6 linked regions of the Sus scrofa genome follow. The protein of the gene in region 3 interacts with the protein of the main gene of each other region in a pairwise test. Links are inferred from orthologs where the notes say so. Each region holds a gene or a part of one and is shown on either strand. Other genes may lie near its edges. The genes, in order: C8H4orf46, HDAC4, CDR2, CHIC2, KANSL1 and TCHP.

The links.
Region 1: the proteins of CDR2 (region 3) and C8H4orf46 interact in binary tests that used the Homo sapiens proteins (3 or more experiments, as listed by UniProt). The two-hybrid records come from large-scale screens. The link is inferred for Sus scrofa from reciprocal best matches to the Homo sapiens genes CDR2 and C4orf46.
Region 2: the proteins of CDR2 (region 3) and HDAC4 interact in binary tests that used the Homo sapiens proteins (3 or more experiments, as listed by UniProt). The two-hybrid records come from large-scale screens. The link is inferred for Sus scrofa from reciprocal best matches to the Homo sapiens genes CDR2 and HDAC4.
Region 4: the proteins of CDR2 (region 3) and CHIC2 interact in binary tests that used the Homo sapiens proteins (3 or more experiments, as listed by UniProt). The link is inferred for Sus scrofa from reciprocal best matches to the Homo sapiens genes CDR2 and CHIC2.
Region 5: the proteins of CDR2 (region 3) and KANSL1 interact in binary tests that used the Homo sapiens proteins (3 or more experiments, as listed by UniProt). The two-hybrid records come from large-scale screens. The link is inferred for Sus scrofa from reciprocal best matches to the Homo sapiens genes CDR2 and KANSL1.
Region 6: the proteins of CDR2 (region 3) and TCHP interact in binary tests that used the Homo sapiens proteins (3 or more experiments, as listed by UniProt). The two-hybrid records come from large-scale screens. The link is inferred for Sus scrofa from reciprocal best matches to the Homo sapiens genes CDR2 and TCHP.

What each region holds. Positions count from the first base shown.
Region 1 is NC_010450.4:47,605,355-47,610,629, forward strand, and holds the start of C8H4orf46 (renal cancer differentiation gene 1 protein), read right to left. Parts: upstream 3,196-5,275; 5' UTR 2,977-3,195; coding exon 2,794-2,976; intron 1,562-2,793; coding exon 1,406-1,561; 3' UTR 1-1,405. Other genes in the region: ETFDH (electron transfer flavoprotein-ubiquinone oxidoreductase, mitochondrial), read left to right, coding at 3,586-3,619.
Region 2 is NC_010457.5:138,433,084-138,437,596, forward strand, and holds part of HDAC4 (histone deacetylase 4), read right to left. Parts: intron 2,527-4,513; coding exon 2,410-2,526; intron 2,208-2,409; coding exon 2,012-2,207; intron 1-2,011. UniProt on the Homo sapiens protein: Responsible for the deacetylation of lysine residues on the N-terminal part of the core histones (H2A, H2B, H3 and H4).
Region 3 is NC_010445.4:23,827,459-23,831,971, reverse strand, and holds part of CDR2 (cerebellar degeneration-related protein 2), read right to left. Parts: coding exon 4,417-4,513; intron 798-4,416; coding exon 1-797.
Region 4 is NC_010450.4:40,822,349-40,826,861, forward strand, and holds part of CHIC2 (cysteine-rich hydrophobic domain-containing protein 2), read right to left. Parts: intron 2,902-4,513; coding exon 2,847-2,901; intron 2,705-2,846; coding exon 2,549-2,704; intron 1-2,548.
Region 5 is NC_010454.4:17,093,052-17,097,865, forward strand, and holds the end of KANSL1 (KAT8 regulatory NSL complex subunit 1), read left to right. Parts: intron 1-394; coding exon 395-452; intron 453-641; coding exon 642-754; intron 755-1,527; coding exon 1,528-1,780; intron 1,781-2,079; coding exon 2,080-2,307; 3' UTR 2,308-3,861; downstream 3,862-4,814. UniProt on the Homo sapiens protein: Non-catalytic component of the NSL histone acetyltransferase complex, a multiprotein complex that mediates histone H4 acetylation at 'Lys-5'- and 'Lys-8' (H4K5ac and H4K8ac) at transcription start sites and promotes transcription initiation.
Region 6 is NC_010456.5:41,070,868-41,075,380, forward strand, and holds part of TCHP (trichoplein keratin filament-binding protein), read right to left. Parts: intron 3,782-4,513; coding exon 3,571-3,781; intron 3,008-3,570; coding exon 2,951-3,007; intron 1,378-2,950; coding exon 1,309-1,377; intron 645-1,308; coding exon 471-644; intron 1-470. UniProt on the Homo sapiens protein: Tumor suppressor which has the ability to inhibit cell growth and be pro-apoptotic during cell stress. Inhibits cell growth in bladder and prostate cancer cells by a down-regulation of HSPB1 by inhibiting its phosphorylation.

The sequences.
Region 1 (5,275 bases), on a different chromosome or scaffold from region 3:
CTGGCCTCGCTCAGTGGGTTAAGGATCCAGTGTTGCTGTGAGCTGTGCTGTAGCTTGCAGATGCTGCTCCGATCTGGCGTTGGTGTGGCTGTGGAACAGGCTGACAGCTGAACCTCCGATTTGAACCCTAGCCTAGGAACCTCCATATGCCTTGGGTGTGGCCCTAAAAAGCAAAATAAAATAAAATAAAAATAAAAATAAATTTGACGCATTTAAAAAAGTAACTTGTTTAGTTTTAATTAACTATTACATTTAGAATTTAGGATTATGGAGTTCCCGTCGTGGTGCAGTGGTTAACGAATCCGACTAAGAACCATGAGGTTGAAGGTTCGATCCCTGCCCTTGCTCAGTGGGTTAATGATCCGGCGTTGCCGTGAGCTGTGGTGTAGGTCGCAGACGCGGCTCGGATCTGGTGTTGCTGTGGCTGTGGTGTAGGCCGGTGGCTACAGCTCCGATTCGACCCCTAGTTTGGGAACCTCCATATGCCGCGGGAGCGGCCCAAGAAATGGCAAGACAAAAAAAAAAAAAAAGAAAGAATTTAGGATTATTACTTGTAAAGCTCCAAAAGTAATAATACACAGCCATAATTCTGATAAGGCACTTTTAAAAGAGCAACCAAACATATAACAACATTGTATACAAGAAATTTCTGTAAAATCAGTTAACCTTAGAAATAAATAGGGGAAAAAATGTGCATTCTTTCAAGTCAAGTTTCATTTTCTTTTTTGAAAATCCATCAGAGAAGGGCAAAAAAATTTGTATTTTAAAAAGATGTTACTAGTTAAAGTTCAAATCCCTGTTAAAAAAGAGAGCAATAATGTTAATGTTTTTCTCCAAGTTAATGAGGTTCTGACTCAAATATTTCTTCAAGAAAAATTTATAATCTTCATGCTAAAAACAGGGAGAAAACGCTGCTTTTAACTGTATTGTCACTGAACATTTAGTGATTATTGTATAACAATGTTCTAGGTGCTGAAAATACAGAATTAAATAAGACACAATAACTGGTTCTACGGAAATTAGCCAAATAGAGCTGAGTCAAACAGTGATAAACCTTAAAGTCATCTCCTTTGTTCCAAAAAAATGAGGCTCAACTTCAAACTCTGCCATGCTTGGTATCTTCTTGCAAATCAAACAAATGGTCTATCTAGTTTGTGACTGGTAACACTGTGGCATTATATTATCTACTGATTGAATTAACTTTCATAAAAGATTGTGTGAAAGTTTAGCAGACATTAAGTATTTAAAGATAAATACTAGTCAGCATCAAAAATAACATTCTATTTTCACAAAATGAAGAAAACCAAGCAAAATTTCATTTTCATTTCACAGAACTGCTGGATTATCCTATCCATATGGTACATCTGCAAATATCGTGAGAACACATGGACTATTACATGGCAAGTCAGTTGTCAGCCTTCAAGGAATCATAGCCTTCTCTCAAGAGGTCCCGCCATGTTTTAAGGAAACGTGCATTTTCTGTACATTTGAAGGCAAGCTCTTCCACTTGAGCTGATACTGCAGATGTGGCTTCGAGAAGTTTGGTTAAGGAAAATGCTGCCTGAAATTTAAAAAAAAAAAAAAAGTCAAACAATATAAGTTGTTTTTTTTTTAATTTTCACCTCATTTTACAAACCAGTCTGAAAATAACAGAACCTCAAATCTGATGCCTCAAATTTAAAGTTATCTTCTTTAAAAGTTAAAAAAAAAATCTTAGAACTAAAATACTGGCTCTTTCAGGGAACCAAAGAAATTCGTTAATATGAAGTAAGCTTTGAGGAAGTAAGATGTGCTAGAAAGATATCCATTATGCATGAGAAATGACCAGTCGATACTTTTTTATTTACAAATCACTAGTCTGATTTAGCTCAACAGGAGACTTGGATCCCTTGACACAAAGTATCAGAAGGAGCTGAAAGACTCCATAAATAACGCTTAATACATGGGTAACAAGGGCATGGCTCCACTATTTTTACCCATGAACGCTGTAGACTATGAAAATGTATAGTCCAAAGAAGAGATGCTCTCAGCTTACAAATAACATCAACAAAATCAAAACAGGTGCAGTAGACAATCATCCCTTGGTGGAAAACTCCTTGATCAAATGCTTTCTTCGCCCACTACATGAAATAGCACTGTTCCTGGATAACACATCAGCACTCCATCCTACAGGGTCACTTGGAAGGAGCGGTGGGCGGAGGCGGGGGAACGAGAGACAGAGACAGAGAGACAGAGACAGAGAGTGTGTGTGTGCTCATGCGCTCCAGTAGCTGGGCGCCTGGAAATTGGAGATTCAACAGAAACCATCCAGACTAGGCATGCCAAGTGCTCAGAGGGAGAGGTCTTTGAACCGTTAGTGAAAGGAATCTGCACCATGGGGTGGTGACTAACCCGTCCTAATTGGATCTAGCGCACAGGACGGTGGGACAGATAATATCTGTCAGCTGACTCTGGGCAGGTGGCCAACTAGGACAGCAGTCCTTAAGTCCCCGGGTAAGAAATCACAGCCTGACCCTCAGCACCCAAGGACAGCAAAGGCGAAGGTGGGGGCGAATGAGATCTGTGTGGTTTCGGGTTACAGCGCGTGTTGGAAACCAGATGGCCAGGCACAAAGAAAACCGGGCGGGGCGGGGCGGGTGGAGGGACACCCCAATTCCCAACGCCTCAACTGGTACACCACATGGGGGAAGGGGCCTTGGGCGGCGTCGGACCCCCACCCTTCCTCACCAGCCCCCCTAGCTGGGCGCGGACCCCGTCCCTCCGGCCCCTCCCGGCCCCGCAGGCCACACCCACGTCTCCGATCTGCAGCTCCACCTCCTCCAGGGGGTCCACTGTCCGGCCGCTGCTCCTGCTTGGAACCGGCCATCCCAAACTCCCCGGGACGCCTGGGGAAGATGCTGAAGATGAGTTTGAAGAGGGAGAGGAGGGAGGCGGCGGGGGAGGCGAAGAAACCAGCAGCTCCTCAGGGTCCTCCATGGAGCCGGGCTGGGCGGCGGGACCGGACTTTGACAGCCGAACCGACACCAACTGTCTTTCAACCGCTCGCGCCCAAAGTCCAGCGACCCCGCCTCCTCTAGTCTCTCGGCGGTGGACCGCGAAGCCCAGTCATTTTCTCCGGACAGCCAATCAGAAACCAGTTAATTCGCCTTGGGCGGCTCTTCACTCCTGCGCAAACCCCCAGTCGGGCAACCTGGACTGTTGAGCCGAAGACTACAACTCCTAGAGTTCCGCGCACCGCCCCGCCTCCGCTTCTTGGCGCCAAGCGCGTTGCACCCTGGGATTTGTAGTCTTCGCTGGTGTCCTCTGCTTGCCCCGGGTGGAAGGGTTCCCTACCCTCTCCGTCTTGGTCTGTGACCCAGAAGTCCTACGGGCAGTCATATCGCGCGTGGCGCAGGCGCACAGCAAGAAAGAGGCGGCAGTACGGTGAAGCCAGAGTGGCCGGCTGAGTAGGGAGGCTGACTCCGCCTGAGACTTCAGTTGTCCCGGCGGGGATGGCGCCCCCCGCGGCCTAGTGGTCCCGTGCCCGGGCGAGCCCCAGCCGGGCCTCCTCCCTCGCTGTACGCCGGGGTCCCGGCTGCCGAGAGCATGATGGTGCCGCTGGCCAAGCTGGCCAGCCCAGGTGAGGAGGGGTCTGCGGGCGCGGGGAGCAAAGTCGAGGGTCTACGAGGGGCGCGCGGGACCACCGCTGGGGGGTGGAACTAGTTCAGAGCAAAGGGCGCAGGGTCGCCGCTGGGTTCCTCCCCTGGGCTTGTCTCAATTGGAAGAGTTGACAACTAGGACATAGGTCATGAATGCAGTGAACTTGTCAACACGGCTCCTGAGCGGAATCTCTCCAAGTCCTGGTGCAGACTCTTATCCCAAGCTCAGGTAATGTCTGTTGCCTTGTTGCAAATGAGTAAATTAACATTTGCACAGATTTTTTTTCCTTGGTCCTCACCTTACTTGTGTATTTGCAGTCATCCTACCCCATTTTAAGAATTCGAAGTCTAGGAGTTCCCTTCGTGGCTCAGTGGTTAACGAATCCGACTAGGAACCATGAGGTTGTGGGTTCGATCCCTGGTCTTGCTCAGTGGGTTAAGGATCCGGCGTTGCCGTGAGCTGTGGTGTAGGTCACAGACGCGGCTGGGATCTGGCGTTGCTGTGGCTCTGGCGTAGGCCGGCGGCTTCAGCTCTGATTAGACCCCTAACCTGGGAACCTCCATATGCCGGGGTGCAGCCCTAAAATAGACAAAAAAGAAAAAAAAAAAAGAATTCGAAGTCTAATGTGGCACATCATCATTAACATGTGTATGCTGCCTGAGTCATCAGACTATCTGGAGCCAGGAATTTTTCTACGTTGTCTAAAATTAACTCTAGGGGCTTATGGTGTTCTGTTTGCCCCTAGAACCATCCTGATGACTTGGTAAAATACCTCATTACCTCCTCTTTTTTTTTAAAAAAAAAAAAAAAAGTAGGATGCAGTTGGGTGGTTTGGGGGATTTTTTTGGAGGGGGTGGTTTATTTAAAAACAAAAGGTTTAAAGTTCAAAAAGTGTACTACAGGATCTTGAATTCTCTCACAACTGGTTTTTAATTTTTATTTAAATTAATTTTGGAGAGTTCCCATGGTGGCTCAGATGTAATGAATCTGACTAGTATTCATGAAGACACAGGTTTGATCCCTGTCCTAGATCAGTGGGTTAAGGATCAAGTGTTGGCATGAGCTGTGGTGTAGGTCACAGACGCGGCTCAGATCTGGTGTTGCTGTGGCTGTGGTGTAGGCCAGCAGCTACAGCTCTGATTTGACCTCTAGCCTGGAAACTTCCATATGCTGCAGATGTGGCCCTAAAAAAACTAAAAAAAGGAGTTCCCATCGTGGCGCAGTGGTTAATGAACCTGACTAGGAACCATGAGGTTTCAGGTTCGATCCCTGGTCTTGCTCAGTGGGTTAAAGGATCTGGCGTTGCCGTGAGCTGCAGTGTAGGTTGGAGACGCAGCTTGGATCCTGTGCTGCTGTAGCTCTGGCGTAGGCTGGTGGCCACAGCTCTGATTTGACCCCTAGCCTGGGAACCTCCACATGCTGTGGGAGCAAAAAAAAAAAAGCTAAAAAAAATTAAAATTAATTAATTTTTAGTTATGGAATAAATAAGTGTACATATTGGAAATTTAAGGATATTAATATTGTGTAAATTTCATGAAAGTAGAATTTTGTCAAATTTGGCCACCATATATTAAATAATTAGGATTTTGTTTAAAGTTTCTATTACTCATGCATGTATTACTACACCTACTATGTA
Region 2 (4,513 bases), on a different chromosome or scaffold from region 3:
GCCAGCTAGGTTCCCAGGAGGTGGCCACACTCGCAGCACATTGCTGAGTGGCCGGAAGCCTGGGTGACACAGCCACATCCGCCAGGCGCCCCCACCTGCCTCTCTCCTGGGCCCTTTATTCCACCTGTTCACCTGCGATTCCTACAAAAGTCTCAGGGAAGGTGCACGCCCCCAGGAAGCCTTCCCTGACTGCACCCTGCTGCAAGCCCAGCACCCAACCTTCTCCATGAGCCCCAACTGCAAAGCTCTCCGTGGGTCGGGGGAGTGGGGTGCCTGGCGAGTAGGAGACGCTGATCTGACAGCTCTGCTCGCCGGCCACGGGTGATGCACTGGGCAGGTGGCTGCCTGCTCAGGGTCGTGGCTTCCCTCCAGGCCAGGCTGCCCAGCAGAACCTTCTATGTGGAAGATACAATCCACATGCCTGGCCCACGTGTGTCCAGCCTGGGGAGGACTAGAGCGAGCAGCAAACACAGCTTCTTTCGGCCCTGAGCGTCCGGCCTGGGCCCGCTGCTTGGAGACTCGACCTGGGACCATTTCAGGGCCCCCTGCTCCTTTCAGGGGAAGATTCCAGTCTGTCGAGGGCGTCCCAGAGCTTCTGACACCGAGGATGCACAAGCCGCTCTGAGCAGGCGGCGCGTGGACCCAGGACCCCGCACCTTCCCCAGCAGGGACCCGCTGCCAGGCATTTGGGAAAGGACCTGGGTTCTAGCTCTGACACCGTCTGTCCACAGAGACCATCACCAACAGGCAGGGCTGTGGGCCGACCCCTCGGGAACCTCAGAGAACCCGCCAGAGCAAACCCGTGCTGAGTGACCCTCCCTGGCCCTGCTCAGACACCCCGCCTGGCACATGGTCCAGTCGCAGAGACATCTGTGCACCCACCACGCACCAACTGCTGCGTGGGGGGGAGGGAGGAGGTGGCCAGGGTGCAGACGAGACGGAGCATGAGAAGCTGCACTGCGGCAGCAGGACCAGGAGGAAGGCCGGGGCTCCTGGCGGGAGGTGGGTGCATGCAAGCCGGACCCAGTGCCGAGAGGGCTCTGAGAAGAGGGTGCTTCCAGAGGGCCCGTGTCGGCCCCCCGCCCAAGGGAGCCTCGTACCCTGTGTGGAGAGGAGGCACTGGGAGGCCGGGCAGGTGGCTGCCTGCTCAGGGCTGCAGCTTCCCTCCAGGCCAGGCTGCCCAGCAGAGCCTTCTGTGTGGAAGGTACGTTCCACGTGCCTACCGCCCCACGGCCGGCAGCCAAGGGAGCGTTTTCTAGGTCACACGTGGGCCTGAACCAATTTTCCCTGTGCTCTTAATTTGGAACTGAAATGTGAACGGCCACCCTGGATGGTGCTGCTCTGGACCCCGGAGGGCCCCTGAGTGGAGCTGGAGGACGCAGTGGGAGTGAAACTGCATGCAAGGGGCCTTCCCGCAAGAAAGACCCAGGATCAGGGTGGGGGTGGGGGCAGGGGGGTGGCCCGAGACCCCAGGAAGGACAGGCGGGGGCGGGGGAGGGACAGAGTGAGGTTGAAGGCCAAGCCCCGTAAAACTAAGAGCAACCACATGGACTGTAGGCACAGACGGCCGAGGAGGGCTCAGGGTCAGGGCTGCCCCGTGGCTACTCGGACTCGGTCAACCCCCAAAACCCGGGGGAGGCCGAGCACCACAGACGGGGCCTGGCCGTGGGATGGAGGCTTCCTCGCCTCCAGGGAGCCCATGGGCTCCATCACCGGAGTAATGCTTTTCCCTGCTGCGGGCCCTTCTAATACAACCGTCCCTTAGGGCGCATGTCAGGTGACTTCACTGAGAGAGACGGACCGCCCAGCAGAGCCGACTCGGCTGCATGGAGCGGCTGGCGCATCAGGGCGGCCGACCCGCTCGACTCCATGCACCTGCCACGCAGGTGGACGCGGTCTAAGGAGCCACCGCCTCGCGTGAGGGGGTGTGCACAGCAGTGCTGGGGGCCGTCTCACCAGCCCCCTTGAAGCCCACAACTGCCCACCCCAGCGGGGCCTGGAGGGCACTCACCTGTGACCAGGGGTGTCTGCGCGGCCGGCTGCTCCAGGAGGACCATGTGCTGCAGGAGAGGGTTGTGGGCCGTCCCCGCGTCCCGGTCCAGGGGAGCCGCGCTCAGGTAGGGGGAGAGGTGGGTGCCGGGGAAGAGGTGGATGCGCTGCTGGAGGGCGGGGAGGGTGAGCCTCTCGGCTTCCTGCTGGCCCGCCGCCTGGGGAGGCAGAGCGGGACGGGGGCCGTCAGGGCGACAACGTCCCCCACCCCCGCAGGCCCGTGGGCAAGCCGCTGGGCTTCCTGCTGGCCCACTGCCCCCTGGGGAGGCAGAATGGGATGGGGGGTGGGGGGAGCCAGGGGTGGGCCAGTGATAGCACCGCCCCCCCGCCAACCCCGCAGACCCGTGGGTGCCTACTTACCGTGGAAGGGCCGGTGGCGGGAAGCCCCAGCGTGATGTTGGGCAAAGACGGGGACGTGTAGAGGGGGAGGGGGCCCACGGAGCCTTCCCGAGTCACGAGCCTGTGAGCCAAGCTGGTCTGCGGACAGAGCACACGGCCGTCACACAGCCTGCAGGCCAGGCCTGCGGTCCCCTGAACAAAGCTGTCTTGACAAGTGACAGCAGCGAGACAGACGCGGCCGTCCACAGCATTAGAACCTGATTCACGATCCGTCACACTCTTGCTTGTTTTTAGTTAACTTGCTCATTCGCACTAAAGCTACCAGACTAAATCCAGGAGAGTATGTTTAAAAATATGTTCTGAGAGCTGGGAATGTCCTTCCAAACAAAACACGAGAGGTAGGAACGAGAGAGGAAAATGATGAATAAAAACAATCCCCTCACATAAAAGGCAAATAGTGCTGACGACAAGGCTGGCAATGGATAGTACAGACAGAGGCCAATATATAAAGAGCACACAGATCAAACAACAATTCATGAGGAAGGACAAAGAAGAACCAACATGGAGAAAAAACTCAGGAAAGAAAATTCAGCACCATCCTGTAATCTAAAGACCTATCAAAAAATCTAAAAATGTATTTTAAAATTGATCATGTTGGCAAAGGTTTTTTGAAAATGACGACAGCATCGTGATCGAGGGAGTTGGAAACACGCTGCCGGGTGGACGGTAAATGGGTGCCTTCCTTCTGCAGGACGATTCGGCGCTCCTTGTCAAAAGCCTTAAAACAGACCCAATCTTTGCTCCGAGACCCCTCCCCTCCACGCTGAGGGTGTCCTCTTAGGAAGTAAAGCTAGAGGAATTTGAGGATCTTATTTACCACGTGGGGCTAAGCAGCAGCCCCGAGGACCTGCACCACTGTGGCATTTCACATCGTCTTGCTTCTAGAAGGCATGTCCTTTGCTAAGAGGACACTGTCTCATTCACACCATCTCCTCCCCTCGGTAGGGACCAAGAGCACACAGTCACAACCACGAGCCGAGCAACAGCAGGTGGTGTGTGTGCCCTGACGTCGGCGGGGGGTCGCGGAAAGTCACCTTCGTGATGGACAGGTCACCAAGTCTCTCCTAGTTCTTCCCCCAAAGGATTTTTTAATTAAGGATGAGAAACACCTGGGTGCTCAAAAATTTCATTTGCAAGATAAAAATGTGCAGATGCGTGAGCTGAAAGGGATGACAGGTTCCCGTAAGCCATGACGGAAGGTCTACCGCGCAGCTAGAAAGCGCTCCCCCCCTGCCCCCCATCCCCGGGAAGGCAGACCCTTCCCCCGCCCCCGGCGGGGCGCAGGCATTCCCTGCCTTGCTGGGTGGCTCAACGGTGTCACACGCTGCACCTGATAAACTGTCCTCATGCCACCCCGGCAACGCAGGAAGGACCGTGTCCTCACTTGGGAGGAAGTTTAGCTGCAGGAAGGTGGCTGCAGCAAAGGCTTTAGGCTTTAGGTTTTTCACATAGTAACACAGTAATGATTCAAGGGCGCCTTAAAAAATGGCCTCTTTCCGGGTTAAAAACAAGCAGCAAGCTGTGCTTCAGAGGAAGCGGCTCAGAGTGCCAAGGAGGGCAGGAGGGCTCCGGACTGTGATGCCCAGGAACCAAAGCCACGGACATGCCAAGTCTGCAAAGCCATCACTTCCTCTTGCATCTCATTCACATCTAGAAATGGGAGTCCCCATCATGGCTCAGCGGTGAGCAAAGCCGACTAGCACCCACGAGGACATGGGTTCGATCCCTGGCCTCGCTCAGTGGGTTAAAGATCCCGCGTTGCCGTTAGCTGTGGATCATATGTGCTGTGGCTGCGGTGTAGGCGGGTGGCTGCAGCTCCAATTCGACCCCTAGCCTGGGAACCTCCATATGCCGTGGGTACGGCCCTAAAAAGACAAAAAGACCAAAAATAAAATAAAATAAAATAAATAAATGAAGCAGCCCTCTGCTTCATGGTCAGGTGCTGGCCGTGTCCATCGGCCCTACCACTCGCTCCCACTGGAAAGTCCAGGGCCAGGTCAGCGCCCACCACCAGCCTCCAAATCACACTTGGCTTTCTGCATGGAACGAAGCGCCCCCACGGAGG
Region 3 (4,513 bases):
TGCAACTGAAGATCTCCTTAAAAAGCGCTTTGTATTCTGGGGGCGTCGAGGCGGTGGGGGAAGCCATGGGCTCTGGGGTGACAGAGGCCGGTTCCCAGCCGCTGGTGCCGGGCTCGGGCTGGGCGCCGACAGCAGCCAGCTCCTTGGCCGGAGCCCTGGAGGTCTGCACGGCCTTGTGGGACAGGGAGTCCTCGTCCTGCTGGCACTTCTTCAGCAGCTCCTCGTACTTCACCTTCAGGGCGCTGTACTGCGTGTCCACCTCGTGCAGCAGGGAGACGCCCCTCTGCTTTACCGCCTTGGCCCTCCGGATGCAGGTCTCCTCGTGGCCCTTCACGATGTCGCCGCCTGCCAGGCTGCTCAGCACAGTCTCGCTGCTGCTGCGCTTGAGGGGCTTCCTGGGCGCCTCGGGCGGGGTCAGCAGCATCTCCTCCAGCAGGCTCTGGCTGGGCTCCCTGAAAGGGGCAAAGAGCGAGTCCGGCACCAGCTTCTCCACCCCGTTCACGAAAGGATGCTCGGACTGCAGCATCTGCCGCATCTCGGCCACCTCGGCCTCCAGCTCCAGCGCCCGGGCTCGGTAGGTGTCCGTGGCCCCCAGCTGCCGCTCCAGGTCGCGGTTCTCCTTCAGCACCAGCCCGAACTCCTCCTCCATGGTCACTCGCTTCTGCCGCTCCAGGCTCAGCTGGGCCTGCAGCATTGTCACCGTTTTCTTCAAATGCTCGTTTTCTTCTTCATCGGGGCTTTGCCGACTTTGTAAGGAAGTGATCTGCTCGGCAAACACGTGATCGTACACGAAGTGCCTGGGGAAGATGTTTAAAGACTCTGTTAACGCAGGAATGCAAAGAGGGAGGCTGATGATTTTTTCCAACTATCTATTTTTGAGGAGCTGTGATGCAACTGATTTTTTTTTGCCTACTCCATGCTAGAGCAATGGTTACAAGGAATGTGTGAGGCTGGCAAATAAACACGTGAGAAAATATAGCTTTTGTGACCGATATTTTTTTAAACATTAAAAATACTACAGGAGGAATTCCCGTCGTGGCGCAGTGGTTAACGAACCTGACTAGGAACCATGAGGTTGCAGGTTCGATCCCTGGCCTTGCTCAGTGGGTTAAGGATCCTGCGTTGCTGTGGCTCTGGCATAGGCCGGTGGCTGCAGCTCCGATTAGAGCCCTAGCCTGGGAATCTCCATATGCCGCAGGAGCGGCCCTAGAAAAGGCAAAAAACAAGACAAACAAACAAACAAAAAATACTACAGGAGTTCCCATTGTAACTCAGCAGGTGACGAATCCAGCTAGTATCCGTGAGGATGCAGGTTTGAGTCCTGGCCTGCTCAGTGGGTTAAGGATCTGGCGTTGCCGTGAGCTGTGGTATAGGCTGCAGAAGCAGCTTGGATACTTGTTGCTGTTGCTGTGGCACAGGCCAACAGCTGCAGCTCCAATATGAGCCCTAGCTTAGGAACTTCCATGCGCCTCGGATGCAGCCCAAAAAACAACAACAAAAAAACACTACAGAACATCCATTCCCAGAGAATAGCAGGATCACTGATACTGGTCAAGGAAATTAGCACGGCCCAGTGGTGCTCGGCCTTGGCCGCAGCCTAGAATCACCTGGGCAGTCAAGAGAAAACTACTGATGCCTGGCTCCCATCCCATAGATTCCGACCTAGCTGGTCTGCCTAGATGTGGGTCTCTCTCTCTTTTTTTTTTTTTTTTGCCATTTCTTGGGCTGCTCCCGAGGCATATGGAGCTTCCCAGGCTAGGGGTGTAACTGGAGCTGTAGCCACCGGCCTACACCACAGCCACAGCAACGCAGGATCCGAGCGAGCCGGGTCTGCAACCTACACCACAGCTCATGGCAATGCCAGATCCTTAACCCACTGAGCAAGGCCAAGGATAGAACCTGCAACCTCATGGTTCCTAGTCGAACTCGTTAACCACTGAGCCACGACAGGAACTCCAAGACGTGGGTCTTTCTTAAGCTCTTCATGTGATTCATAATATGCAGCTAAGTTTGAGAACCACTGCTGCAGTGATTTTTAACCAGGAACAGATGTCAGAATCACCTGGGGCAGCCTTTTATTCCCACTTAGAGATTCTGATTTAGGCCAGAGGGAGTCAAAATGATCTTGCAGTTTGAAAAACTCATGGGACCTAATCAAACTTACAAGCTTTTGCACAGCAAAGGAAACCATAAAAAAAAAAAAAAAAAAAAAAAAAAAAAAGACAAACTACAGAATGGGAGAAAATAGTTGCAAATGATGCAACTGACAAGGGCTTCACTTCCAAAATATACAAACAACTCATACAACAGCAAAAAACCAAACAACCCAATTGAAAAATGGGCAGAAGACCTGAATAGACATTTCTCCAAAGAACATATACAGATGGCCCACAGGCACGTGAAAAAAGCTCACTAAAACATCACTAATTATTAGAGAAATGCAAATCAAAACTACAGTGGGTGCCATTCACATCAGTCAGAGTGGCTATCATCAAATCAATAAGTCTACAAATAACAAATGCCGGAGAGGGTGTGAAGAAAAGGGAACCCTCCTACACTGTTAATGGGAACGTAAATTGGTACAACCACTACGGAGAACAGCATGGAGGTTCCTCAGAAAACTAAATGTAACACTAGCATATGACCCAGCAATCCCACTCCTGGGCATATATCCAGACAAAGCTTTCACTCAAAAAGACATATGCACCCGCAGGTTCACTGCAGCACTATTCACAATAGCCAGGACATGGAAACAACCTAAATGTCCATCGACAGATGAATGGATTAAGAAGGTGTGGTACATATACACAATGGAATACTACTCAGCTGTAAAAAAGAACAAAACCATGCCATTTGCAGCAACATGGATGGAACTAGAGATTCTCATACTAGGTGAAGTCAGTCAGAAAGCAAAAGACAAATACTGTATGACAGCACATACCTGGAATCTAATATGTGGCACAAATGAACCTATCTACCGATAAGAAACAAACTCATGGACATGGAGAACAGACTTGTGGTTGCCAAGGGGGAGAGGGAGGGAGTGGGATGGACTGAGAGTTTGGGGTTGGTAGAAGCAAACTATTGCATTTGGAGTGGATAAGCCATGAGATCCTGCTGTAAAGCACAGAGGAACTGTATCTAGTCCCTTGTGATGGAACATGATGGAGGATAATGTGAGAAAAAGAATGTCTATTATAACTGAGTCACTCTGCTGTATAGTAGAAATTGACAGAACACTGTAAATCAACTATAATTTAAAAATTAAAAAAAAAAAGAAAAACTGCACAGGGTAATCTGATGAATAAGGCTGCGGACCACCGAATGCACGAGCTGGCCTCTCTCTGGTTCAGGGTCCTAGACAACTTGGAACTGTACTTTATGTGTGTGATTATCTGCTTCTCTGCTTCTCCACGGGACTGAACTGTCTGTCTTGCTCACCACTCCACATACCTGCCTTGTGACAGGGGCTCCAGAAATATCTATTAAATAAAGACTCAATCTCATAACTCTTAAGTTGTAAACACAACTCTGCAGGCCAAAAAAGAACCTCTTCTATGGGCCTGCATTTTTGTTTTACTGCAATTTCCATTTTTTTCTTCACTGACATGTGAAATACAACCTCCAAATCTGTAGTCTATCAGAAGCACTGCACCTTCTTGTAAATTAAAATTTAACAAGTTAAAAGCACTGAACTAAGGAGATCCTGTTGTGGCGCAGTGGTTAATGAATCCGACTAGGGACCATGAGGTTGCGGGTTCGGTCCCTGGCCTCGCTCAGTGGGTTAAGGATCCGGCGTTGCCGTGAGCTGTGGTGTAGGTTGCAGACGCAGCTGGGATCCCGCGTTGCTGTGGCTCTGGTGTAGGCCAGCGGCTACAGCTCCGATTCGACCCCTAGCCTGGGAACCTCCATATGCCACGGGAGTGGCCCCAAAAAGACAAAAAAAAAAAAGCACTGAACTAAATACTCCCAAGTTTTTAAAAAATCAGTTTTCACAGAATTACTAATACCCAAGAACTCTATCATTTGTATGTTTGTTTTTAATTTTTGTCTTTCGTCTTTTTAGGGCCACACCCGCAGCACATGGAGGTTCCCAGGCTAGGGGTCAAATCAGAGCTGTAGCTGCTGGCTTACATCATAGTTCACGCCAACGCTGGATCCTCAACCCACGGAGCAAGGCCAGGGATCGAACCCGAAACCTCATGGTTCCTAGTCAGATTCGTTTCCTCTGCGCCACAGCAGGAACTCCCATAGGCTTTGTATGTTTAAATTCAGTGGTTTTGTTCAAAGCAGTGGTGATCTACTAGCCAAGTGGCACTTCCTAAAAGGGTCCTTTTAATGGACTGGAGACCAGAACGTGTCAGGACACAAGATGCTCCCCTGCTTGCAGTGGCCACGGGAAAGGGGGGCTCTTACTGGCGGAGGTCATACAGCTCTTTCAGACACGAGAAGCTGGGGGCCGATTTCTCCTGGTCGTGCTTCTCCTGGCTCCTCCTCCTCTGGCCCGAGGACT
Region 4 (4,513 bases), on a different chromosome or scaffold from region 3:
TATCTTTAACATTCATAGAAATCATAGATTTTTCCTATCACATCATATTACCATGCGATCCCCTGCATGCATTGATAAAGAATTATCTAGGGAGTTCCCGCTGCACCACAGTGGGTTAGGAATCTGACTGCAGCAGCTCAGGTTCAATCCCTGAGCCCGGGACAGGGGGTTATAGACTCCAGGGTTGCAGCAGCTGCAGCATAGGTCACAACTGTGGCTTAGATTCAGTCCCTGGCCTGGGATCTTCCATTTTCCGTGGGTGCAGCCATTAAAAAAAAAAAAGAAAAAATATTTATAAATCATATATTTGAGGGGTGTTAGAATTTTGATAACTATATAATTGATTTCCTTTATAATCCTATGTATTTGATTTTACAAATTTAATATATACTAAGCCTCTCCAAATCAAATAAAAAACATTATTCTAAGAAAGGGTTCATAGGCTTTCCCAGACTATCGAAGGGTCTACAACAAATAAAAGGTCAACCCTGCTCTAAATTATCCTGCCCCATCTTACAAAGCACTCCTTTTTTCAGGGCCTCTAACGCCCTTCATACCTGCATGTAGAGTTACTCTCTCCAATGATTTAATAGTTTACATCCAAGACAGGTAAAGGCAGGTTTTTAAGCAGTAACTGCATTTGTTTACGCTCACTGGATGGTAAAGTCTATATAAAATTAAATCATATATACACACACACACACACAAAGAGAGACTTTAGTGTAATATTACAAAGTTGAATGAAATGTACTTTCTGAAACCACAGACTGAAATAAGCTAAAAAAAGTCAATATACTTTATGTCTCAAATAAAAAGGAATTTAATGAAAGCATCTGAAAAATGATCTTATTACCAAGAAAGTGTGGAGAAGGGCAGGAAGTTTATTTTTGTTTTCTACATCCAACACTGTGCACACATTTTAACATCTTGTTTACTCATTTAAAAAGCAAAAAACGGAGTTCCCGTCGTGGCGCAGTGGTTAACGAATCCAACTAGGAACCATGAGGTTGCGGGTTCGATCCCTGCCCTTGCTCAGTGGGTTAATGATCCGGCATTGCCGTGACCTGTGGTGTAGGTTGCAGACGCGGCTCGGATCCTGCGTTGCTATGGCTCTGGCATAGGCTGGTGGCTACAGCTCCAATTAGACCCCTAGCCTGGGAACCTCCATATGTCGCGGGAGCAGGCCAAGAAATGCCAAAAAGACAAAAAATAAATAAATAAAAATAAATAAAAATAAAAAGTAAAAAAACAGGATCTCAAAACCTTCAGAAACAAAAATAACTATATCGCAAAGGTTTCTACAGTAATAAAACTTTGATTCTTTGGGTTAAATAATAGTAAGCTGCCAAGCAAGTGAGACTCAGCAATCATTTAAACAATGGAAATGCCTGAACAGTAGAAGCGAGTGAAGGGACCTAAACTACAAAGAGCTACAAATGCAACAGAAACCAGATTTTAAAAAAACTATGGTAGGAAGATCATCTGCTGAGAACTATGGGAAAAAAGAAATATTCTTGGAATATAAAAAAGTAAATATTACAAATATTACAATAAATATTACAAAATTATATTACAGAGGCAATTATCTACTTCCTATCAATAAAATGCACTAGTTAAAATTTGTTTCCAGTAGAAATATACATCCTGTTTTATAACAAAGAACAAACATAAGCTTTCTTTTCCATATTTCCTGTTATTACTGGATGATAAAATGAAATGTAGTCACACAAACTATTCACTCAATTTCAACATAATGGTAGTTCATTTTTATACATATAACTACCATTTAATTTTTAAAGCTTTTTAACAAAAATATAACACATTCAATCTATACTAATTTGCCATACCTTTACCCAGATCTTGGAAATTTCCTACTATAAAAAGTCAAAACTATTACTCTTTAGATCATTTTTATGATTACAGGATTAGTATGTATTCAGCAAAACTTGTAAAATACAAAAAAAAAAAAATTCTTTAAATAAGAAAACAGAATTCTCCACAATCTCACCAATTACAAATAAGCATTATCAGATTTTATTTCTTCCATTGGTACTGAAATATCAGTAATAACGTTTTAATCAATATGCATTAGGTTCTTACTTTGAACTATTTAGCTAAAAGCTTTACAAACTATTTGATCTTATCCTTACAACAGTCCTATTCAAGTAGGGAGGTAAATACTGTCATTTTACAGATATGTTAACTAGTTGAAAGAGGTTAAGAAACCTGCCTATGATCACATAGGTAAGTGGTATACCCGAGCCCAACATTTTCAATCACTAATTATACCATAATGTAGAGAGAGCATGCTGTATTCCATCCTGACATAATGTGTTGTATCATAAGAATCATAACTATAATTTTTAGATAGCTATTTCATATAACATCATGTGGACATAACTTAATCATTCCTCTACTGGATCAAATTATTTTTCTATGGTATTCAGAATAGTGTGACTCATTCAAAACAAAAAAATAAAAACCAGATAAGTGCAAGATCTGACATGTCTACTTCTAAATTTAAATTAAAATATATAATTCAACTTACTCTTTTACTGAGGCAAATAACTGGCCACATACTGCAACCTAATGTGCAGCAGCAACAAAGGCAGCCACAAAGTAGCCAACGTACATTAACAGGAAGGTTCTTCTTAAGACAACTGTTAACTCTGTTGATGCTGGCTTTAAATTCTTCAGGAGCTACCTAAAGAAGAATTTTAAGAAATAACACTGCAATATTAATGTGAATAAATATGTCTCATTAGCATAATTTTTTCTAATTTGTTAGGAAAAGACTTCAGTTCTAAGGCATAAAAACAATACCTAAATAACCAACAGATACTCACTTTTCCAGTTAAAGAAGAAGGGAATTCTGATTCAAATTTGTTGCTCAGTCCAAATCTGTTTTTAAAAAAGGAGAAAAATGTTATTATTACATGTCATTGTTGCAAAGATAGACTATTTATCTTAATCAAAGGTCAAGTAAATAGAGTGCAACTTTATATACAGAATAACAAAGTTTGAGACATAAACTTAATTAGCAATTTATGAAATGTAACAAGCAATTTTAGCAGCTGAACCAAAGCTTTTATATAAGAGGCTGAGACTGCAGAAAAATATGACTTCTTCGGAACTATCTTTGTAAGCCAAATATTAATGTAATAGAAAACAACACAACTGCCCAATTTTGTCAAAATTACTAAGATTCTTTCAGGAGTTCCCGTCATGGCTCAGTGGTTAACGAATCCGACTAGGGACCATAAGATTGTGGGTTCGATCCCTGGCCTTGCTCAGTGGGTTGGGGATCCAGCATTGCCGTGAGCTGTGGTGTAGGTCACAGACACAGCTAGGATCCTGCGTTGCTGTGGCTCTGGCGTAGGCTGGCAGCTACAGCTCCAATTAGACCCCTAGCCTGGGAACCTTATATGCCGCAGGAGGTTTGCCTCAGGGTGGCCAAAAAAGAAAAAGCGGTTGATTTAATTTGAGCTACTGCCTATACCTTAAAAACTAACTTCAAAGCATATTATTTTAAAAGATGACTTTATTCCTAGCTTTAAATGTTACTGATGGAGATAGGCAATGGTTGTGAATTTGAACAAGTGTCCTTGGTACACCTAAGCAATAAAAGCAGGAGAAGAAAAAAATGTAGGGCAAAGTTGAAAAAGAGTAGAGAAAACAAGGAGAGAAGAAATGGAAGAAAAAAAAAAAAAAGGTAAGGATTGGCAAAGTACTACCAACAACTGTCCTATCTGGTCACCACTCAATACCTACTGTCAGTCCATTCAATATCTGAAAGAAAATGTAGACACGTGCTACATCTATCTCTCTTCCTGTTACCTAAAAGCTCTTGTCCCAAATCACTGTTAAAATATTCGTGGCTTTGGAATTGATAAAAGATTTAAACTATTTTCAAAGAATAGCAAATATAACAAGATAAAACACATTAAACTTAACCTATTGTACTGTTACCTAGTATAAGTTTACAAGTCTACTAATATTTGGAGAAAAAGAGAATTCATTCGAATCAAACTACTGAGCAACTTTTATGTAATGCTTCATGATCACAAGGTCCTACAGCAGAAGGTTTATACAAAATTTTTTGGAGTCCCTTCATGGCTCAGTGGAAACAAACCTGATTAGCATCCATGAGGATGCAGGTTTGATTCCTGGCCTCACTCAGTGGGTCAAGGATTCAGCGTTGCCATGACCTGCAGTGTTGGTCACAGATTAGGCTTGGATCTGGCTTGGCTGTGGCTGTGGGGTGGGCCAGCAGCTGCAGCTCCAGGTCACCCCCTGCCTAGCCTGGGAACTTCCATATGCCACACCTGTGGGGAAAGGAAGGGAAGGAGAGAGGGAGGGAACGGAGAGAGAGAAGGGAGGGAGGGAAGGAAATGTTTTTAAGAAAGCATGTACAAGGCCAATTTTTATTTTTAGATAATTTGAGGTAATTTTGAAAGTTCTTATAATATACGTGATAAAGCCCTGGAAAGGGACTGCAACTTACTCCTAAATG
Region 5 (4,814 bases), on a different chromosome or scaffold from region 3:
CAGGCCACAAACTGGCTATGGTCATGTTTTGTTTGACATATACAAGTGTCTTTTAAAATACGGAATTTGTCGTCAGCATCAAAGCAAGGTTTCACATATGAGTCTTTATTTCCAGCTTTTGTTGTCAGATTCAAAGATTGGGCAGCCCTGTATGTGCATTCCCCTATGGGAGCATCAGCTGGACCCCTCAGCTTCCCAGCTCTCATCTCACCCTCGGCCTGCTGCCCCTGTTCGTGGGCATTTGAGTGTGGAGCCTCTTGTAGAGGCCTCCAGGGCTGAGAAGGCCCAGCATAGAGGGGTGTCACTTGCAGGCGGAGGGCTCTCACTCTTACACAAATGTATCCTGCCCCAAACTGCCTGCCACCTCACGGTTGTCCCTTTCTGGTTTTTGCAGCTGGCGGGAGGTCGATCTTCGGTCTCTGAAGGGGAGTCCTGATGAGGAGAACGAGGAGGTAAGGGTGTGGTCCTTCCCTCTGGGAGGAGCACACACTGCAGATGCCTCAGGACCTGTGGCATCAAGTGCAAGCTCACTGTATTCCTGCTGTGACCAGGAAGAGCCTGCTGTGGGGTGGGGCGGCTTCTAGAATTGACCTACCCACACTTCTGGAGGAAAGAGGGGCTCAATGAATGCTCTTTTGCAGATCGAGGACCTTTCTGACGCAGCCTTTGCCGCCCTGCATGCCAAATGTGAGGAGATGGAGAGGGCTCGGTGGCTGTGGACCACGAGTGTGCCACCCCAGCGGCGGGGCAGCAGGTGATGGGGCAGGCACAGGCCCCTAGGACCTGTGGAGGGAGGGTCAACAGGGAGTTTGGGCCCTAGCTGTGTCCATGGAAGGCCACTGCCCTTAGTTGCCCTTCGTATTCGTTCACTGGGGATAGCCAAGAATGCAGAAGTTCCTGGGTGTTTGTTGGAACCAACGAGGGTATACGCAGTCAAGTACTGGACTCTGGTTGAGTGGTTACTGTCCAGTTCTAACAAACCCTAGTGATCTCCTGGGCTCCAGGAAAAGGGCTGTCTGTGGCATTGGAGACCTCACCACAGGTTAGCCTTCCTCTGGACATTGCAGTGAGGTTTTATGATCCTACTTGGAAGAACTGTTCCACTCTGTCTCCCTTTATTGTTAACACCAAGAAGCCCCAAGATTCTCAAGCAGAAAGATTTTAAGGCTCTTGTTCTTGTGTTTTTCTTTGCCTACAGTTTTCAAAGTTGGGGCTAATTCCCCTTCCCCAGTGAGTCTCCTGGGCAGTGTGCCAGGGGTCAGCCCCCAGCACAGTTGAGCCCTGGCTTTCTCACAGGATGATAGCTGTACACAACTATTAGATGTCATGTGGTGTACCTGCCCCCTGCTCAGTGGTGGGAAGAAGTGAGGGTATTTGTGGTTCCTAGGAAAGAACTGTAGTCAGTCTCCCTCAGCTCCCCAGATCCTGGTCAGGGATGCTTTTTCATGCTTCCTCCCCAACCCCCCAAAATAAACATAAGAAACTCATATTACCCAGACACTCAAATTCAGATTTCTTGGTGTACAGGTCTTACAGGTCATCAGACGGTCGAACCACCCCCCAGCTGGGCAGTGCCAATCCCTCCACCCCCCAGCCTGCCTCCCCTGATGTCAGCAGTAGCCACTCTTTGTCGGAGTTCTCTCACGGTCAGTCCCCCAGGAGCCCCATTAGCCCGGAACTGCACTCGGCCCCCCTCACTCCTGTGGCTCGGGACACTCTACGACACCTGGCCAGCGAAGACACCCGATGCTCCACACCGGAGCTGGGGCTGGATGAACAGGTAAGGCACCCGCCTTTCTGTGGGATTGGTGGGGCGCAGGTGGAATTGGGGGACAGCACCTGCTCAAGATGCAGCTTCATTTTATGGGCACCCTCCCCCCACCCCGCGCTCATTTTGAAGGGGACAAGGGGCTGTTGTATATGAAATCCACCCATTGTTAAAGGGTGCCCACTCTGCACATCCTTCCTCGACCAGCCCAGGAACTCTGGAGAGACTGGCCGTGGATCCCAGTCCACATGACTTGGGGCAGGAGGCAGGCGGGGACTGGGTCCTCACCAGAGCGTCTTGTCTGCCCACAGTCTGTCCAGCCATGGGAGCGGCGAACCTTCCCCCTGGCGTACAGTCCCCAGGCAGAGTGTGAGGACCAACTGGATGCACAGGAACGGGCGTCCCGCTGCACTCGGCGCACCTCAGGCAGCAAGACTGGCCGGGAGACAGAGGGGGCGCCCACCTCGCCTCCCGTCGTTCCCCTCAAGAGTCGGCATCTGGCGGCAACAGTCACAGCTCAGCGTCCAGCTCACAGATGAGTGGGATCCGAGCATCTAAACAGACTCACAAACTATTGGCATTAAAGCTTCAGAAATCTCTGCGTTTGATATTCAAACATCATATGCCGAAAATTTTCACAGTTTTTAGTGAATTTAAGGAATTTAGATTCTACTTTTTTTTCCCTTGTTTTGATTTTTGTTTTTGTTTTGGTTTCCATGTTTTATCGTCACACACCTGAGCACTTCCTCCAGTTGGCAAACAGAAGTTCAGGATGAGACCTTGCTGACCGGGTCCTGGCGTCCTCTGCACTGTTGAACCACTGGACTTGGCCGTGTTGGATGATCACCCCTCTCCCTTGCACCTGTGGGCAGGGTGGGACAGCCAGGTAGGCAGAGGGAAAGGAACCGCCAGCTCAGCACGGCCACCTCGGGTGAGGCTGGGAGAGAACAGCGTGTTCTGGGCCCTTCCCCTTCCCCTCTGTGGCTTGGCTCAGCTGTGGCCTCCCGGCGGGGTCCCCTTGGTCGTCGGCGCTGGAGCGCCCCTACCAGAGCCTCTTGGCCCAAACTGCCAACTGTTCTCACCCAGGTCTCAGCTGACAGAATGGCTTCCCCTTGTCACCCAGATCTTGGAGACCTACTGGGTTTCCTCTGCATTTGGTCATCCCTGTTTTGACTCCTTACCTGCAGTAACCTGGCTGCGGCCACTCAGGTTCTCAGTCCTGCCCCTTGGTGCCCTCTCGTCTGCTCCCTCACTCTGCACACCCACCCATACACGCCAGTCCTTCCCCATCTGGTCTCTGGAGGTAGGGTTAGGACTGTTTAACCTCTCTTCCCACACCTCTGCAGATGCTGGGGGTCTGGGACATGAGCAGCCGTCTCCCCTGTACAATTCTGTTTTCTCTGACCGAGTCATTTGGTCGTATTTCCTCCCCATCCAGTTCCCTGTCAGAGTCAATCAGGCCCTTCTTCTTTCGAGCTCCTTTGCCTGTGGAACACTGTCTGGTCCTACTGTGGTTCCCATCACTCCCCACCCCCCACCCCCCCAGGTTAACCTTGTGCCTGTCTCATGAATGATCACATCACCAAAAAGGGGGGCAAGAAGGACTTTTTTTTTTTTTTTTCCATTTTGTAATCGTATAAAAATAGTAGACAAACTGCTTAATGGTCGGGGTTTTTTCACAATTTTCAACATTAGTGATTTTTTTTTTTTTTTGATTCTGTTTGCAAGTTAAAGGTTTGTCATTGTTTCTTTAAAAAACAATAATGCACCATATCCCTATGCATAAAGTGCTTCTTCTATTTATAAGGTTGAAAATTCTGAATAACCCTTTTAGCATTGTAAAAAAAAAACCAAAAAAAAACAAAAAAACAAAAATGGAAAAAAAAAACCCTTGTATTTTGTAAATATTTTCTTTTCCTGCTTTGAGCTGTGTATTGGCAGCGGAACATGTAGCTGTCTTTGTTCTATAGAAATGCTTTTCTTCAGAGAAGCTGATCTTTGTTAATGTCTTGATTCTGTTCGCAAAGCACAGACTAGTGCTTAAAAAAAAGTAAGGAAAAATTGAAAAAAATAATAAAAAAAAAGTTACAGAATGTGGTATACCAGGCCTTTCTTGACGCTGGACATGTAATGGGGGTGGCTGAGGAGCCAGCCCTGCTGAAACAGTTCTCTAGGTCCTCTGACTTGCTCTGAACCTTAGCACCTGTCCATTCTATCTTCTGGGCACCTGCTCAGAGCCTGTCTCCATTCTTTCTTCTGGGCATCTGGCAGGGTCTTCTCGTGGTCACCAGAGGGAGGATGTGGTTTTCGTGGCGGGGGCTGGGGGTTAGGTAAGGGATGCCAGGAGGAAGGGGGGGGTCTTTGTAAATCATCTGTTTTCCTTTTTGTTGGATGAAAGTAATTGATCCATTGCTCTTAATCTCACTTGCTCTAGTGAGGCTAGCACTGTAACATTTTTATCTATTCTATATTGTTCTTTAATGGAGATCTCACTTTCCACCATTGACCTCTTCTGGGGTTGAGGTCAATGAGGATGTATATATTTTGCATGGAGCCTGAGCTGGTTCTCAGCATCTTTCTCCTGCGGAGGCTAAGTGCTTGATTTTCTTTGCACAAGATGAGTAAGTGAGCAGGTCTGGTTCTCTCTTTACTTCCTTTTTTCCTTTTCATGGCAGTGGAAGTGAAGCAGCCAGTGAGGCTGCCCATCCTGGCCATGAAAGCTATGAGTTGTGAGGTAACATTTCTGTTTGGCTGCCCTGTTGCTGCTTCTGAAATTGCAGTTAGGATCTGTTCTACTTTCATTTCTGCCTGCAGTGCCTGAAGGACATGAGGAAGAGCTGAGAAAAGTAACATTTTGAAACTGTTCATAAAAAATCAAAGGACTCAGTGTTACAACCTTGACCTAATTACTAAGGAACAATAATTAATATGGCTTTTTTATTTGTAGCATCACAGGGGCTACCTGGTTTCCCTGCCTTGATCTAGCAGACACTGTGCAATCTGCAGTAAGGCTCAAAGGAGAGAGGAAAGCAGCTCTGTAATCTAA
Region 6 (4,513 bases), on a different chromosome or scaffold from region 3:
AGTGCTTGGCACCTAGAATAAGGTCTGGTTCTTGAATCACTCAGGCCTGGGGAAGGGGGGGGGGTGCTATACTTGCCTGAATGGGAAGATCCAGCCCCTCTGAGCAGCTCTGCCCAGTATTCTCAAAACATCCTCCTGGACCAAAGATCCTCATGGTTTGGTGCCTTGAGACCAAAAGCTGCTAGCCTGGGTCAAGTTCACTTTGTACACTTAAAATCCAAGTTCTAAGGAGGCTCACAGATAGCAGGTCTCTCAGCCACTCTGAGAGGACAGGTACTAATTTGGGCCCACAAGCCAGGAGTGTTGAAGAGCCAGCAACAGGAATGCATGTCTGAAGGGAGGACCCAGCACTGTTCCACTTCTTAGAATCATCTCCCTGATACAATCTCTGCTTAGCACAGCTTTTTAAATGTCTGTTTCATAACAGCAAGCAGCTGCGAGGAGGCTCTGGCAGCCGGGCTCACCCTCACCTCCATCTCCTTCACCTTCAGCTCCTCCATCTGCTGGCGCAGCGCCTCCGCCTGCAGTTTACCCTCCAGCTGCCTCCTTTCCTCTTCAGCCTTCATCCGTGCTAGCGCTTCCCGTCGGGCCCTTTCGTATTCATTTTCATATCGTTTTTCCTTTTCCTCTTCAGCGGCTTCTTGCTGCACAGAGCCAAAGGAACCCGGGGTCAGGGTCTACAGCACAGAGTCAGCAAAGACCCAGCTCCCCACCCACCAATCAGCAGGCCTCAGGGCCTGCTCCTCATTCTGCACATCTACACCCAAGGAGGCTATACCCTTAGCTGTGTGGCCCAGGCAAGGGTGTCTTCCTGAGCTCGGTTCTCACTGTGGGAACCGTGGGAGTGGTGCCGTCCTCAGGGATGAAGCTGGGAGGCTTTTGGCTTGGTGCCTGGCACAAGGATGCCAGGGTTCCTCCCTTTCCACACGTCAACAAAACACCTTCCAGAACGAACCCCAAGATAAAGCGGTGGGTCCATGGAAGAGTGGACTTTCATCCCCAGGGGTGCTGCTGTAAACCACGTCTGAGAATTTAGGATGTAAACTACATGAAAATAGGGCACCAGCAACAAAAACAACCCTCAAGGATGCATGTTGCATCTACCATCAGCCAGTCCTGGTCACTTGGTCTTACTCTGCCTCTGGGAGTGACCACAGACGAGTCTAGTTTGTGTAAGAGCAACAAATATTCAGTTTTAACATGTGTTAAGTAAACAAGGAAAAGTCTATTCCTGGATTGGAATCATTAACATTGAAAACAAGAAACAAATTCAAAGACATGGAGACAGTCTCCCACCACATACCATACCTGTTTTTTTTCCTCTTTCTGCATTTCCCAAGAGTTTATCACATGCTTCTTGTGAAGGTCCAGTTCAATCTGAGGATGAGAATGTGGAGAATATGAACGTCCCCACTGGTTCATCAGACAGAGAGATATTCAAGCATAGCACAGCTCTGGTTATGGCCAGGTGTCTTTATAAGGAATTGCACGGTGACCCTGACATACAGTTGAATGCAAGTGAATCAGAAAGCCAAAGGGCCAGGCACTTGTAAATCATCTCAAGAACTGGAACAAAGTAGCAGAAACTTTTTTCCCAGTACCCTTGGGGCTGAGCAGGACCGGGTCAGTAGGCAATGAAATGGAAATTCAATCTCAAAGGCCACCCCAGTTGGTCTAAAGCTTGCCAGGCCCCAGGGCAGCAGGAGCTGGGTGAGGAGCAGGCTCAACCCTTGGCCTGGCTCCCCAGCACTCCCTCTGCAAAGCAGCAGCTGTAAAAACATGCACGCTCTGAAGCAAGAGATGCAACAAATTCAGGGTTATTAATAAGAGATTTGGGTTTAAAGAATCTTTTGAATCAGGAAACAACACTGTCTGAAAGCTCTTGTTTTGAGAAATTGTTTATAAAAGTTTTAAATTTATTTCTTATAGATGGAAACATTTGCAACTAACTTGAATGTTTTGAATAAACTTTGAGTACATGACTTTGGAGGTTCTGCTTTAATCTATAAGCCACGGGGAGAGGAGTCCTCTGTGGCGTAGTGCTAACCATACAATACTCCAGAACATTCTATTACCTGTGACTGGCAATTTTTAAATGTAGTTATGCTTTATAAGTTAATACCACCAAACATACACACAAACTAAGCTGAAATAAACTAATCTTCATCATGGGATTGTTTCTCTCTAGCCCAGTCTCTGCTGAGTGCTGTCACCCAAACCTAAACGCCTCCCTCTCCTTGCACTGAGGTCTGTGCCTCTGTCCCCCTTTCTCCTGCCACCTCAGTTCTGGCCTTCACATCACTCACCTGGGCTGTGGCAGCAATCCTTCAATTGATATCACCCCTTCTGGCCCACCTCAACAGTGCTGCCAAAGCTGCTGTTCTCCAAAATGCAGCTGGACCCATTTAAAATCATGCAGACCCTCCCCAACGCTCCCAGAGGAAGGACACACAAGGCCATCTGTGGTGGCCCTGTCTGCCTACCCAGCATGAGACTCAGTTCTTGGGGTTCACCCTCCCTGTCTGACGTCCCAGCCTCTCAGCCACTTGTAGCTCAAGGTGGCTGGAGGGTTTTGTCTCACTCCAGCACAAAACGCAAGTTTAAAAACAAGGTGGGGAGCTCCTGTCGTGGTGCAGTGGAAACGAACCGGACTAGGAACCATGAGGTTTTGGGTTTGATCCCTGGCCTTGCTCAGTGGGTTAAGGATCTGGCATTGCCATGAGCTGTGGTGTAGGTCGCAAACGAAGCTGGGATCCTGCATTGCTGTGACACAGGCCAGCAGCTACAGCTCCGACTGGCCCCTAGCCAGGGAACCTCCATATGCTACAAGTGCGGCCCTAAAAAGACAAAAGACAAAAAACAAAAACAAACAAACAAAAAAAAAAACAAGACAGGAAACATGATTTCATTGACTTAGGCAAATCAATGGAAGGGGCTCCTCAGTTTTCACCTCTCGAAGTTGGGGGTTGTTCTTTTTCCAGTGTTCATACAGAAGTTGTTCAGCAATCTGTCAAGGAAATACAAAGCGGGAGGCCTGATGTCATTTTTCCAATCCATTCACATTTCGGATAACCCATGTGGAAGTCAACTCAGGTAAGAGTGCCCTACTGGCGCCAGCACTGCACCGCCCTGCAGACCTCCCACGTGCCTTGTGCCCACAGTGCTGGAAACCAGACACTGCCTGGAACTGCAGGGCCCTGACAAGTGACTCTTACAGGGTGGCCAAAGGGGGCCCAAATCTGATGCTGCAGATGGGTCCTAGATGCTAAAGATCTGTTTCAAACTAAACAGAGATTGGGCTTACCACAACACACGACTACTGTGGAGGATAAAATACACCAGTCCAAGCCCTTTGTGGGACCACAAAACTGGCATAAAGAAAAAGGACTCAGACCTAACAGTTTAAGGGGCCAAAGAGAATAGAGATGTCTCGTAGGAAACACACATGAAGAAGAACTCAGAGCAAGCACTTCTCTTGGCTGGCTCTGGAACGAGCTCTTATCAGGTGACCCCACATGGTCTCACTGTGACTCCTGCTCTGAAGCCTCCTAAAGAGTTTCTCAAAGTTACCAGTTTCCTTTGCTCTTCTCGGGCCGACTTCAGATTCCCATGCCGCTCCCGGATTCTCCTTTCCCTCAAGTTCATGCTCAGCCTCAGTTCCTCTAGTTCTCTGACTAGCAGGTCCTGCTCCTCCAGCAGAAGCTGTCTGAGTCTCTGCCGTCTGGCTTCCAGACGCTTTCTCCCCTCCTCCTTCATCTTCTCCCGCTGGTAGGCATGCATGCTGGGCGAGAAGGGGCCACCAGCAGTCAGTCAGTCGTGCCACAGCCACACGGGGAAGGGTAAGGCGCAGCTCAACGTGGGGGGTGAAAGAGGCTAAAGCCAACAGAATGGGGTGACCCAGGAAGGTGCCCTCTGGCCAAAGGAAAGAGAGCAGGTGACAGAACACTAGACATTATAGAATCTTATTTTTGCAAGAAGAAAATGTATAGTGAGCTTACATATGCATGTGCTAAAGGGACTAGCTAATATTTGAGCAATACCATGTACCAGGTTTTATATTAACCCAGACAATTTTATACGAATCATCACACAAATCCTGTAAAGTAGGTTCTGTTTTAGTCCCACTTCACTGATGAGGAAACTGAGGTTCATTCATATAGCAAGTGACAGTCAGGATTTCTATCTAGGTCTGTCTGACTCCAAAGCCTATGTTGTTGTTTTGTTTTGTTTTTTTGTCTTTTGTCTTTTCAAGGTTGTACCCACAGCATATGGAGGTTCCCAGGCTAAGGGTTGAATCGGAGCTGTTGCTGCCGGCCTATGCCACAGCCACAGCAATGCGGGATCCGAGCCACATCTGTGGCCTACACCACAGCTCACGGCAACACCAGATTCTTAACCCACTGACTGAGGCCAGGGATCAGACCCACAACCTCATGGTTCCTAGTTGGATTTGTTTCTGCTGTGCCATGACGGGAACTCCCAAAGCCTATGCTTTTAACTTCCATGTTTTTAT